Styela clava: one gene and its partners. The protein of the gene in region 2 purifies or fractionates together with the protein of the main gene of each other region. This does not show direct contact. Links are inferred from orthologs where the notes say so. Each region holds a gene or a part of one and is shown on either strand. Other genes may lie near its edges. The genes, in order: intraflagellar transport protein 46 homolog, clusterin-associated protein 1-like and intraflagellar transport protein 27 homolog.

Region 1 (3,760 bases), on a different chromosome or scaffold from region 2:
TTGGTTCCTACAAACGAACGCCATTACTGTAAATGGGGTCTATGAACGATCACGAAAACCTAACATATCAGACATTAATCCACGTACCGCCGTACACATAACAGCGGGCCTATCCCAAACATATTCATAACCTGCACAGTACCAAAGTGACAAGGGCACACGTGTGATTTTGAGAGATTGTTAATACGAGAGTTCATTAGAGCGTATAAGTATTTTCAACAGCTACATTTAAGTAGTGATACGCATTGCTTAATCTCGTCCATCTCCAAGACACCACTGCGAAGCTATTGTCGCTCTACAGATATTGTAAATGCTTTGAATCTGTAAACTCAGAAACTAGTAAACGACAAAAATAATGTTAGTGGAAAGGGTTTATGAATGTAAATGTTTCGCGATCAACCCATTTCTTTGTTTATCACGCAACAATGGTGACGTAACAATCAAAAATTCATCACTTCCCGGACTCTTGCTTTAACATCAGAACATCGAAGTCTCGATTTAAACAACTTTTTGTGAGCGTCGACTCGATTTCGCAGTTTTATTTGTCGGTTTTTAAGTGTAGACTATACGGTATACGCTATGGTCATCGTTTATTCGTCTAGTCGTGGGAGAGCGTTGATAAGTGATTGCTGCTGGGTTGTAGCTGATTATAATTTTAGTGCGATAAACAATAATCTTTTGCCAGTTGTAGACCTATGGTATTACATTTATCAAAATCAGGGTTTCTATTAAATTTATATTAACCAAAGTCGTCAAATTGAATCCAGATAATAAAATCCTTGTAAATTCATGTGTTTGTAGTGAAATAGGTATCGAGCTAAATTAAGGGATGAATGTTTTGGTACCTAAACGGCTAAATGAAACCGTGAATTTCACTGCCCAAGTTTTTTATTTTAAAATATAAGGCTAGGCTATAGTCCGATTTGGTGTTTAATGAAATTTGTAACACCCTGGTGTTCTATATTGCATTCACTAATAAATTTAAAAGTCAAAAGTACAAGTTTTCTGCACTGCTCAATACCTTAAACTATTGTCTGAACAAACACTTTCAGCAGTCTTGATTCATTTATTTGTTCGTAACATGGTACATGGCTTCAAATGACGAAAACACTAAACTAGTTGTTAATCAGCATTACGACGAAAGCTTGGATGTGAACGATTCTGAAGAAATTGCCAGTTTATATAGCCCTAGCCCAAGAAAGACTCCAACACCGCTTCTGCAACCGGGACCTGAGAAGCCAAAATATAATAAGATGTCATCACAAGATGATGATGATCAAATATCAAATGAATTTGGAGATAACGATGCCACTGATGGTTCTCCTGGTGATGTTGCTGATCCCCAAGCTCAAGCAAGGTCTGGGACATCAACAATGAGCGAAGGAGATTCTTCAGAGGACAGCGACTCGTCTTCTGGTGATGAAGAAAATGGAACAGCCCTAGAAGGTGCTTATGATCCTGCAGATTATGAAGGTTTGAATGTAAGCGTGGAGATAAAAGATTTGTTCCAATACATTACTCGATACACACCTCAAACTATTGAGCTTGAGCACAAATTAAAACCATTTATACCTGAATACATTCCTGCGGTCGGTGACATTGATGCATTCATAAAAGTATCAAAACCTGACAATTCATCCAGTTTACTTGGACTCACTGTATTAGATGAACCATGTGCAAAGCAATCAGACCCTACGGTTCTTGATCTGCAGTTGAGGAGTATCTCAAAAATGTCTGGTATAAAGGCAATGCAAGTTCGTAGTCTCAAAGATGCTCAAACCAATCCCAAATCTGTGGAATCCTGGATTGAAAGTATAGAAGATTTACGTAGGACAAAGCTTCCACAAAATGTACACTACACAAAAAGCATGCCAGATATTGAACAACTCATGCAGGAATGGCCTCCTGAATTTGAAGCTCTTCTTTCTAAGGTTCGACTACCATCTGCAGATCTTGATTGTGATTTACAAAAATATATTGACATGATATGCGCCGTGTTAGATATTCCCATATATCCAGGCAATAAAGTGCAATCACTTCACGTTTTATTCAGCCTCTACATGGAGTTCAAGAATTCCCAGCACTTTCAAACTGCTAGTCCCAATGAACATCATGATGTGAACGAGCCAGATGTAATGACTTTTGATTAATGTCATATAATACTGCATCAGGTGCTCCTTTTTTCATTTGCAGCTTATGGAAACAGTTACTGTGACACATTCATTCAAATTTGTCCCATTGAACTGCGCTAGTAACTTAGTCATGATTTATAGTATATTTTTGTATCGAATGTTTCTAAGTGTATATATGTTTTAGATAGTGTTCATCACTGTTATGTATGATCTCTCACTTCAGACTTTCATAATAATTCAATATAACTGTTACCACTCTCTCTCCAGGGATGGCCATAACTAAATACTTTGCTATTTCGAATACATTCTAAAGTTCCCCTCATATTTTATTCACTTTTCTGATAATAATATCATTGTAAAGCAGCACAAATGGAATGTGTGATAGTATTGAAATTAGTGGTTTTCTTGCTTCTAAGAAAAAAAGACATGATAAACATACAGTATTCACACCTGTGAATGGTGGTGTATCTTGGTATTCACAGAAAAAAGTGCAACTATTCGTCTAGTGAAATGTTTTGAATTCTACAGAAAAATCAAAGTTAATAACAACACACACACTTTTGTTATAACTTCTGACTGTTTATCGTCAGCGTATGTGTTATTTATTCCACCAACATAGTTAAGCTAAATTCAGCCACAGTTATCCCTCTACACAAAAATTAATTGTTGTGCAAGCGTGATCTTTAAATTTTATTTTGCTCCACCATTCGTTGATTCAGAAAAACGCAAATGTTATTACGCAGTCATTGTCATAATTAAATGAGTGAACCCAATTTCCATCAGCTAATGACAAAAAATTAGGACTGAAAATCGTGTTTTATTTTTTAGTAAGCGCTGATTCAAATCTTTCATGTCAGTTGTTATGCTCCTAAATTAAAACCGCCTACTGAACAATATTATCATCAACGACAACGGGATAACGTAAAATCCCCGATACTAAATAATAGTTGAGAACTATTTTCTTCGCTGTAAATTGCAGCAATGTAAAAATTTCCTGTTATGTTCGGTCACTATCGAAAGTGAGTATGAAAACAATTAATTCCGACACAATTTGCTTTCGGATTTTTTGCTGTGGCCGCACAAAGTATCTCGACTAAGTTGAAATATACGATACTAATTGTAAAATATTTGAGACATTTTATAAGCCCTAATTTAAATCTATTTATTGGCACGTCACACAAGTCCGTCTTGATTACGATAAAAAGTAATTGTAAAATGTTTTCAATCAAATCGTTGGCGGTATGCTCGGACTGGGTCATCATGAACATCTTTATATAGACCTCTACCACTCTGGCCCACAAATAAATACTCAATTTGACAACTCTCTGATTTGTAAAATTTTCATGCTATTTTTCTAATACATGGCAAAAGAACTTAAGTTTTTAACTATACTTAATTCTCCCACCGGAAGGGTAAATGGTTAAGGATAGCCATTTGTGTACTTGTCATGCATCTGATTTTTGCACCACTTACCCAAAACATTAGGTGAAATTGCTCTATAATCAGGCTTATAATAAGTAGGACCGTCGCCATACATCTGATTTTTGCACTACTTCCCCAAAACATTAGGTGAAATTGCTCTCATAATCACACATTAAGTAGGACCGTCACCAACCTCTTGTGCTCTG
Region 2 (3,760 bases):
GATAGGTATCAGTAATAAATGACTAAAAAGGTAGGTATCAGTAGTAGATGACTAAAAAGGTAGGTATCAGTAGTAAATAACTAAAAAGGTACCGGTAGGTATCAGTAGTAGATGACTAAAAAAGGGGGCTCCCGAAGTATGCGAACCGAGATGGCGGACATCGGAATGTAATATGTGTACTAGGTTAGGGTTAGGCCATAATTTTAGGTATAAATACTACGGGAGGCCCTTGGCTAGTCTTCGAACTGATAATAGGACTAAAATAAGGAAAATTGGAAAAAAATTATCGCCTAACCCTAACCTGTTACTGATACCTACCTTTTTAGTCATTTACTACTGATACCTACCTTTTTAGTCATTTACTACTGATACCTACCTTTTTAGTTATTTACTACTGATACCTACCTTTTAGTCATCTACTACTGATACCTACCTTTTTAGTCATCTACTACTGATACCTACCTTTTTAGTGAGTGATACCTATGATACCTACCTTTTTAGTGAGTGATACCTATGATACCTACCTTTTTAGTAGGGCCCAGTTAGGTAGCCTAGACATCTCACATCGGTACTGGTACCGTACATCTGCACATCAGTAGACTACATACAGGCATACGGCTGTACAGTAACTTACCGTACTATACTGATCTACAAATAAATACAGGTAGAGGGAGATAAATGATTATCATATTATAGAATCCTGGAATCAGGATCAGAGGATGTCAAACAAAACCTCCACGCATCCATCAGTCTGTCAGTCCATGCTGTCTCGAACACATGACAGTACCGTACCGTACGGTATAACTCGCTTACACATGACTGCATGATGAGGAGAGTCAGCATATAGTTCATAGTCTATATGCCTAAAGTTTCTCTGTTCTGTGCCACTTGTTGTGATATTTTACAGTTATAGGACGACTTGCAGACTTGGGTAATTTTCTTTATGTATCTTTGGAGGTGTAAGCAACCTGTTTTGGAGTTTACAGTGAGAATGCTTCAGATATTTTTTATCTATCACACCTGCCTCCTTCATCCTTTATCCAGTGAGCATAAGATGGTAACTTCATTTCCAATTTGTCTTGATTTATCTTAACTTTGTTTTTATATGACACAATGTTAAATTGTTTTTGCAGTGTAAATCATAATCTAGAACTTTTTAGGAAAGGTGCAAACATCAGAAATATGTCTTATCGTGATCTACGAAACTTCACTGAAATGATGAGGGCTCTTGGATACCCAAGAATGATTTCAATCGAAAATTTTAGAACGCCAAATTTCCCTCTAGTAGCCGAAATCTTACTATGGCTTGTACAAAGGTATGATCCAAATGTTACTCTACCCACAGACACTGATACTGAACAAGACAGAGTTATATTCATCAAATCTTCCTCACAATTTGTTGCTACGAAAGCTCATATTAAACTGAACACAAAAAGGCTTTACATGGCTGATGGGTATGCTGTGAAAGAACTTGTAAAGATAGCTAGCGTTTTATACAGTGCAATGAAATCGACACATTCATCTGATGGAAAAGAAAACGATTCTGGAGACGCATCATCTCTGTCTTTCGACATTGATTCAAAAATACAAGACTTAAAAGCTGTACGAAAACTCTCAACGGAAATTACTGAAAGAGGTGCTCTTTTGTATGACCTTTTGGGCAAAGAAATTGACTTGCGAGAAGCCAGATTGACAGCTTTAGCTCAGCCTTTGGAAATAAATGAAATTGAAAAAGGGCTGCGTATTAGTATTCAATCGGTTGAGAAAGAAGTACAAAAAACATTACACATGCTTGACAATATTGCTTCTGATGAAGTTAACCTAGAAGCCAAGATTGCAAAACGAAAAACCGAACTTGAAAGATCGCAAAAGAGACTTAAAACACTGGAAAGTGTGCGACCTGCATTTATGGATGAGTTCGAGCAACTAGAAGAAGATCTCAAAATACAATATGAATCTTACTTATATAAATTCCGGAATATGACTCATCTTGAACAGCAGTTGGAAGACTTGAAGGGACAAGAACAAATGAGAATGGAAGAAACTGAATCAACAATGAAAAAAATGCAAGATCGTTTGAGAGAAGAAGAAAAAAGAACAATCTTGAGCACAGTTGCAATGGATCAAATGGAGCAAGATATGGTATGTATGAAGTTTCGGATCAGATGTATATGATTTGTGATATGTAATTCTAAAAGAAAACAGCAACAAAAATGTTGGTGGTGTACTGGGTGAAATGTTATATAGAGTTAAAGACTGTTAACATAATATCTAGTTATTAATAAATACACTAATCAATTCAATAATACACAATATTCATATTGTGTACTAGAAATGTATATATACATAATTTCAACATCCCTAGTGGGTTTTAACACAAAGGAAAACTAATTTGCAAGCTGAATTCCATTTGGCATTTTGATCTTCTAATTTAACAGCATTTATAAAGAAAAACTTGATGCTCAAACTGTACAGTAGTCTGTTTTAGCCATTTATTCAACATGGAAATTTCTAAACAAGTTTGTTCAATTCAGTATCAATAGACATGTTTTGTTCTAACAATGTATTCAATATCTTAGGATGAGGGAGGAAGCGATTTGGAGGATAGTATGGAAGGAGAACGTCCAGCATACCATCAAACAAGCCGACCAAGCAGACCACCTGCTGGTGTGGGTCCAAGAAATAATATGTATGGTGATGAAGGGAGTGATGATGACGATGATGAAGAAACCTTGTCAAGCAGCAATCTGAGTGTTGTCGATGATAATGAGGATCTTACAGGAGACGATAGTGATGACTTCCTTGATGACATGGCAGGAGAAAGAGCGATTGGTGCAGGTGGCGACCCAAGACGTCATCATGATGTTATTGATGATGACGATGGGGAATTTTAAGCCTCCCACTACAATTCTTTCACGTACTCTTATCAGCATTGAATGCTTGATCTACTTTCGTAAAGAGAAAAAAAACAGAAGTGTATTAATCAACCTTTTTGTCATGATTTTTTTTGGAAATTTTTAGATTGTCACTTATATCAAACTCTGCTAGTTTCACTCAGTGGTAATATTTGTTCCATGTATATATATATATATTACACTGGTGAAGTGCTCAATATATGGTCTTTCGAATAACTTTTGTTTAAACTCTCTATGTCTGATGTAGTTGTGTAATTTTGTGTTGTAATTTTTTTACGTAACAGTAATAGGAAAAAAACTCATTGTCAAGAAATTCCCACCATTTTTGCACAATACCGGAATCTCTATTTAAAAGTCTTTATAGCTTTATTTGGACACAAGTGCACTCAGTACCTATGCTTCGTTTTTAATAATTGTCGCTGTTGGGGTTTTTAGGGCTGTTGCTGTTGTGAAAAAATAGCTATTATCTGCAACTAATGGACCAATCTGGTTCAGTTTTAAAAGATAGTACTTCTATAGTTTTTTTGTTCAATTATCTTTTGAATTGTAAGAAGACTCACTATGTATCCGAAATTTTTATAATTTTATAATTCATGGGCACGACGCTTTAATGTGATAATTAGTACAGCTTTAACGTTTGATCGCTCAAATTTAGCTGGCATTAGCCATGTTATGATATGACATGTAAATTTATTATTAAAGCATTGCTCTCCTGAATTTAAAAAGCAGAAGATAATTATGACAATTATGTAGTTAAAAGTGGCCAAAAGTATTAGTTGTGTAACTTGTGTACCTTAGTCATGTAATGAGCATTTCATTATAATATTCAATAATACTGTGTTGAG
Region 3 (3,545 bases), on a different chromosome or scaffold from region 2:
CTTTGTAAACAAACAAAGCTAAAAAGTAAACAAACAAATTTAAAAACTCTAAAACTAGTTTCGGGCATTGCTTTTTGTTTAAAACTTTAAGGAAATGGTTAAATTTCACAAAGTTTTCATTTAAAAATTCATAATCTCGAGCATTTGCCTATGATGGTCAGTCATTAAATTACCTCTTTTTAACCAGTTTTACCGAATCAAAATTTCAGTATGCAGACATGTCGGCTAATATCCTTAACTAACATCTCTTTTTGTCAAACGCTTGAAAATCCAGTTGTGAATATTGTCTGATCTTCGATAACTTTTATTTCTTTATGATTACCGTAAGCTTCTTTTAAGGATATCACATTCCCAGATAAGTCTGTAGACGTCGCCCTTACACGTAGCTCCGATATGAATTCCATTCTTTTTTTATCAAGAACATTGAATAAAATCTTTTCCTGTGTCCATTCCATATACCAGGTTTCCTTCTAAATAATATTGCCGGTACCACATAGATTTGCGATCAGAGTTCCAGATCAAAGAGTATCCCATCGTTCAACACGTCCGCACCCCACGGTGGTCAGATCCGAATGGACATGTCAGTTCTTACCGGTCACCCCTACCTGACTAAGCCATTCAAACAGCTATTTCTCTCGTTTTCTTCTTGCAACGATCCCGATAGGAGAGAGATCACAGACGTTAGTCAGTTCTTTATCGTCGGCATCAATGCCATTCCGGGCGATCGTGCATGAAATTGACAAGCTCTATGACGTGATTGTTATGTCTTAGTGACATAATTTTTGGATGGCATAGTCAGGTGGGGGTTGTGTCAAAAAAATTTTATGCTACGCTACGTCATGCATCTGAAATATATAACTGTAAGTAAGCATAATTAGTATAATTTATTCATCACCATGTGAAAATTAAAGATACATTCACAAACAGAAGCAAAGCATTGTTAGGTATACCAGTAATGTAATTTAATTGCCTTATTATCGTCACATACTAATTCTCTCCACATACCTACTGCATTGACCCACACAGTCTTTCAAATGCACAGCACTGAAATATTTTTCATTTGCATTATTACAATAGTATTTTAATTAATATTGTGTAATATAGTTAGTGTCTAATAATATCAAACCTATTGGTGATTGAAAATTTCCACGGAAAAAATAAAATGGGAGTTCTACGAGCAAAATGTGTCATTGTTGGTGACTGTACTGTCGGGAAAAGTGCGATTACACAAGTTTTTCACAGCGATGGGACGATGTTTCCAAAAAACTACACGATGACTACGGGAGTCGAGGTTTGTCAAAAAGTCATTCCTGTTCGAGAACGTGGTGATTTTGTCGATATTTTTATGTTCGATTCAGCTGGAAAAGATGTTTTTTCTGAAATCTGTGAAAAACATTGGGACGATATTGGAATGCTTGCTGTTGTTTTTGATGTTACGGACATCGAGTCGCTTAACCGTGTGAAAAACTGGCGGAATAAAATGAAAGAACATATCAACCCGGAAAAAAATATTCCGAGCGTTCTCATCGGTAACAAAGTGGATTTGGACCTAAGGCGGCAGGTGACAACAGAGGAAGGTGAAGAACTTGCCGAACAATTGGGAATGACGTACTTTGAAGTTTCTGCAAAAGGCAATGAAGGAATTGAAGCACCTTTTCAATATCTTGCTCAAAAGTTTGCAGACCATCATCAAGACTCTCGAGAAAATGTACAAATGCTAGAATAACTGTTTATATCTATTACTTGTAAATAGTACTAATAGTGTCAACTTTGATACGAAACGTTCAATGAACCGGAACTAGACAGCACTAGCTCCATTCTCATTCAGACTATTTTATTCTGACCGTTTATGACAAAAAATAAGCTCTTACTGTTATGGTTCTTTGTTTTATTATTTTCTGGGTTAGAATTAACAAAGCATACCTGCCTAAAGGAATACTGGTATTGTTGATAAAGCGCATAATAATATAGTACTATATTCGTAATAATATGAAGTCGAGTTGGACTAAACTGAAAAATACATTCATTTTGGTAAAATTCTTTCCCCGAAATAAAATTGGATTAGTTGGAGTTGTCTATAAATGTCAACTCTCAATTTATTATATTGCATTATAGAATTTAGGAATAATTTTGAAAAGTTTAAGTTATAAAATATGCTTGACCAAAATACCCTCATTTCAATGTTTGAAAAACTGTAAAAAAGAAGAGATGGTCAAACTATTATTCATCATAACTCTCCTGCATTCCCAAATCAAACTGTAACTTCAATAAGTTCTCTGTAGGACATGACCCTTCTCAGTATATAATTTTACTTTCATATTTGTATTAATCATTTATGCAGCTTAGGTGGATAATTGGCTACATCTGGCTGTTTTTTACATGTACAAATTCATATTTGAAGGTTCTAATTTTGTTTTCGTCTTTTCTAAATAATTTGTGGATTTTTATGGAATCTTTGTATTGTTTTGTGTTAGAATATTAGGTGCTATACTGTTGTCCCACCACTAAATTTCTATTTTTCTCAAATTCTGTTTATCTTAGGTTAGGTTAATATAAGTTAGAAATTGTGGGGATGAAATTCGGCTCTCTCTGGCCAGTGCTGGGTTATTGCCCTGACTCGAGTTGGATTAGAGTCACTGTTCATAAAAGTGACTCAAGACGTATAATTGATATGTCTTGGGCTCGATTTTCTGTCAGTGGGCTGAGTTATTGACCCAACTTCAGACTTGAATGACTGACTGATGACTTGTAACTCGAGTATAAGTAGTTAATGAGAAAAGCCATTTTTCCGAAACAACTAGAAAAATACTAACAACAACATAATAACAGATCAGAAACTTAGTGGTGGGACAAAAATACTAGTACGGTACCGGTACTTTATTTTTATGTAGTGCTGTATTTTGGTAAATTTATTATTGTGTGAATTTCACTGTATAATTTTTTATGTATATTTTTAGATAAAAGATTTATAATAGTGTAGTAATAGCTAAAATTTTGCCATTCAAGTCTAAGACATCAAAACTGGATTAAACATAATATAGGATAAATACCCAATGGGCAGACCTACACCAACAGCTGAGTAGCGGGGGAAATGCTGGAATTCCTGGGATAAATATTTCAAATGTTTGGAAGACAATTCGTCTGCAGGAAATAAGGAATCCATTTGCTCAAATTCATATAAAGAGTTTGTTGCAGATTGCCTTCCTGTTTGGGTAAGAGTTTTGGCGCTGCAGAAGTGTGTGTTCCAATATTGCGGTAACTACCGTGATTTTGTTCGCCTACTTTGCCTCAAGTTGTGTAAAGAGACTGAAACCTATAGGGGGTTTATTCACTTGTCTAACACAGATAGTACCCGAACTCGTAATAGAACTAAAATAAGGAAAATCTGAACAAAATTATGGCCGAACCCAAACCTGGTACACATACTTCGGGAGTACCAGAGTGTCACTGTTTGATTTTCCTTTGAATTTTTACAATTAAAAAACCCATCTCTTACTCGGTGGTTTGGCGAGCGTATTCCTATTGCTCATCAGGATGCTCCACAT

What was found.
Region 1: the proteins of clusterin-associated protein 1-like (region 2) and intraflagellar transport protein 46 homolog purify together in Homo sapiens (affinity purification with mass spectrometry; 3 studies listed by BioGRID and IntAct, with this or other methods). This does not show direct contact. The link is inferred for Styela clava from reciprocal best matches to the Homo sapiens genes CLUAP1 and IFT46.
Region 3: the proteins of clusterin-associated protein 1-like (region 2) and intraflagellar transport protein 27 homolog purify together in Homo sapiens (affinity purification with mass spectrometry; 3 studies listed by BioGRID and IntAct, with this or other methods). This does not show direct contact. The link is inferred for Styela clava from reciprocal best matches to the Homo sapiens genes CLUAP1 and IFT27.

Annotation. Positions count from the first base shown.
Region 1 is NC_135257.1:13,333,269-13,337,028, forward strand, and holds intraflagellar transport protein 46 homolog, read left to right. Parts: upstream 1-874; 5' UTR 875-1,088; coding exon 1,089-2,150; 3' UTR 2,151-3,506; downstream 3,507-3,760. UniProt on the Homo sapiens protein: Forms part of a complex involved in intraflagellar transport (IFT), the bi-directional movement of particles required for the assembly, maintenance and functioning of primary cilia. May play a role in chondrocyte maturation and skeletogenesis.
Region 2 is NC_135250.1:18,041,638-18,045,397, reverse strand, and holds the start of clusterin-associated protein 1-like, read left to right. Parts: upstream 1-1,114; 5' UTR 1,115-1,182; coding exon 1,183-2,142; intron 2,143-2,579; coding exon 2,580-2,894; 3' UTR 2,895-3,760. UniProt on the Homo sapiens protein: Required for cilia biogenesis. Appears to function within the multiple intraflagellar transport complex B (IFT-B). Key regulator of hedgehog signaling.
Region 3 is NC_135255.1:20,075,628-20,079,172, forward strand, and holds intraflagellar transport protein 27 homolog, read left to right. Parts: upstream 1-1,053; 5' UTR 1,054-1,162; coding exon 1,163-1,726; 3' UTR 1,727-2,964; downstream 2,965-3,545. Other genes in the region: uncharacterized protein LOC120328394, read right to left, coding at 3,497-3,545. UniProt on the Homo sapiens protein: Small GTPase-like component of the intraflagellar transport (IFT) complex B that promotes the exit of the BBSome complex from cilia via its interaction with ARL6. Not involved in entry of the BBSome complex into cilium. Prevents aggregation of GTP-free ARL6.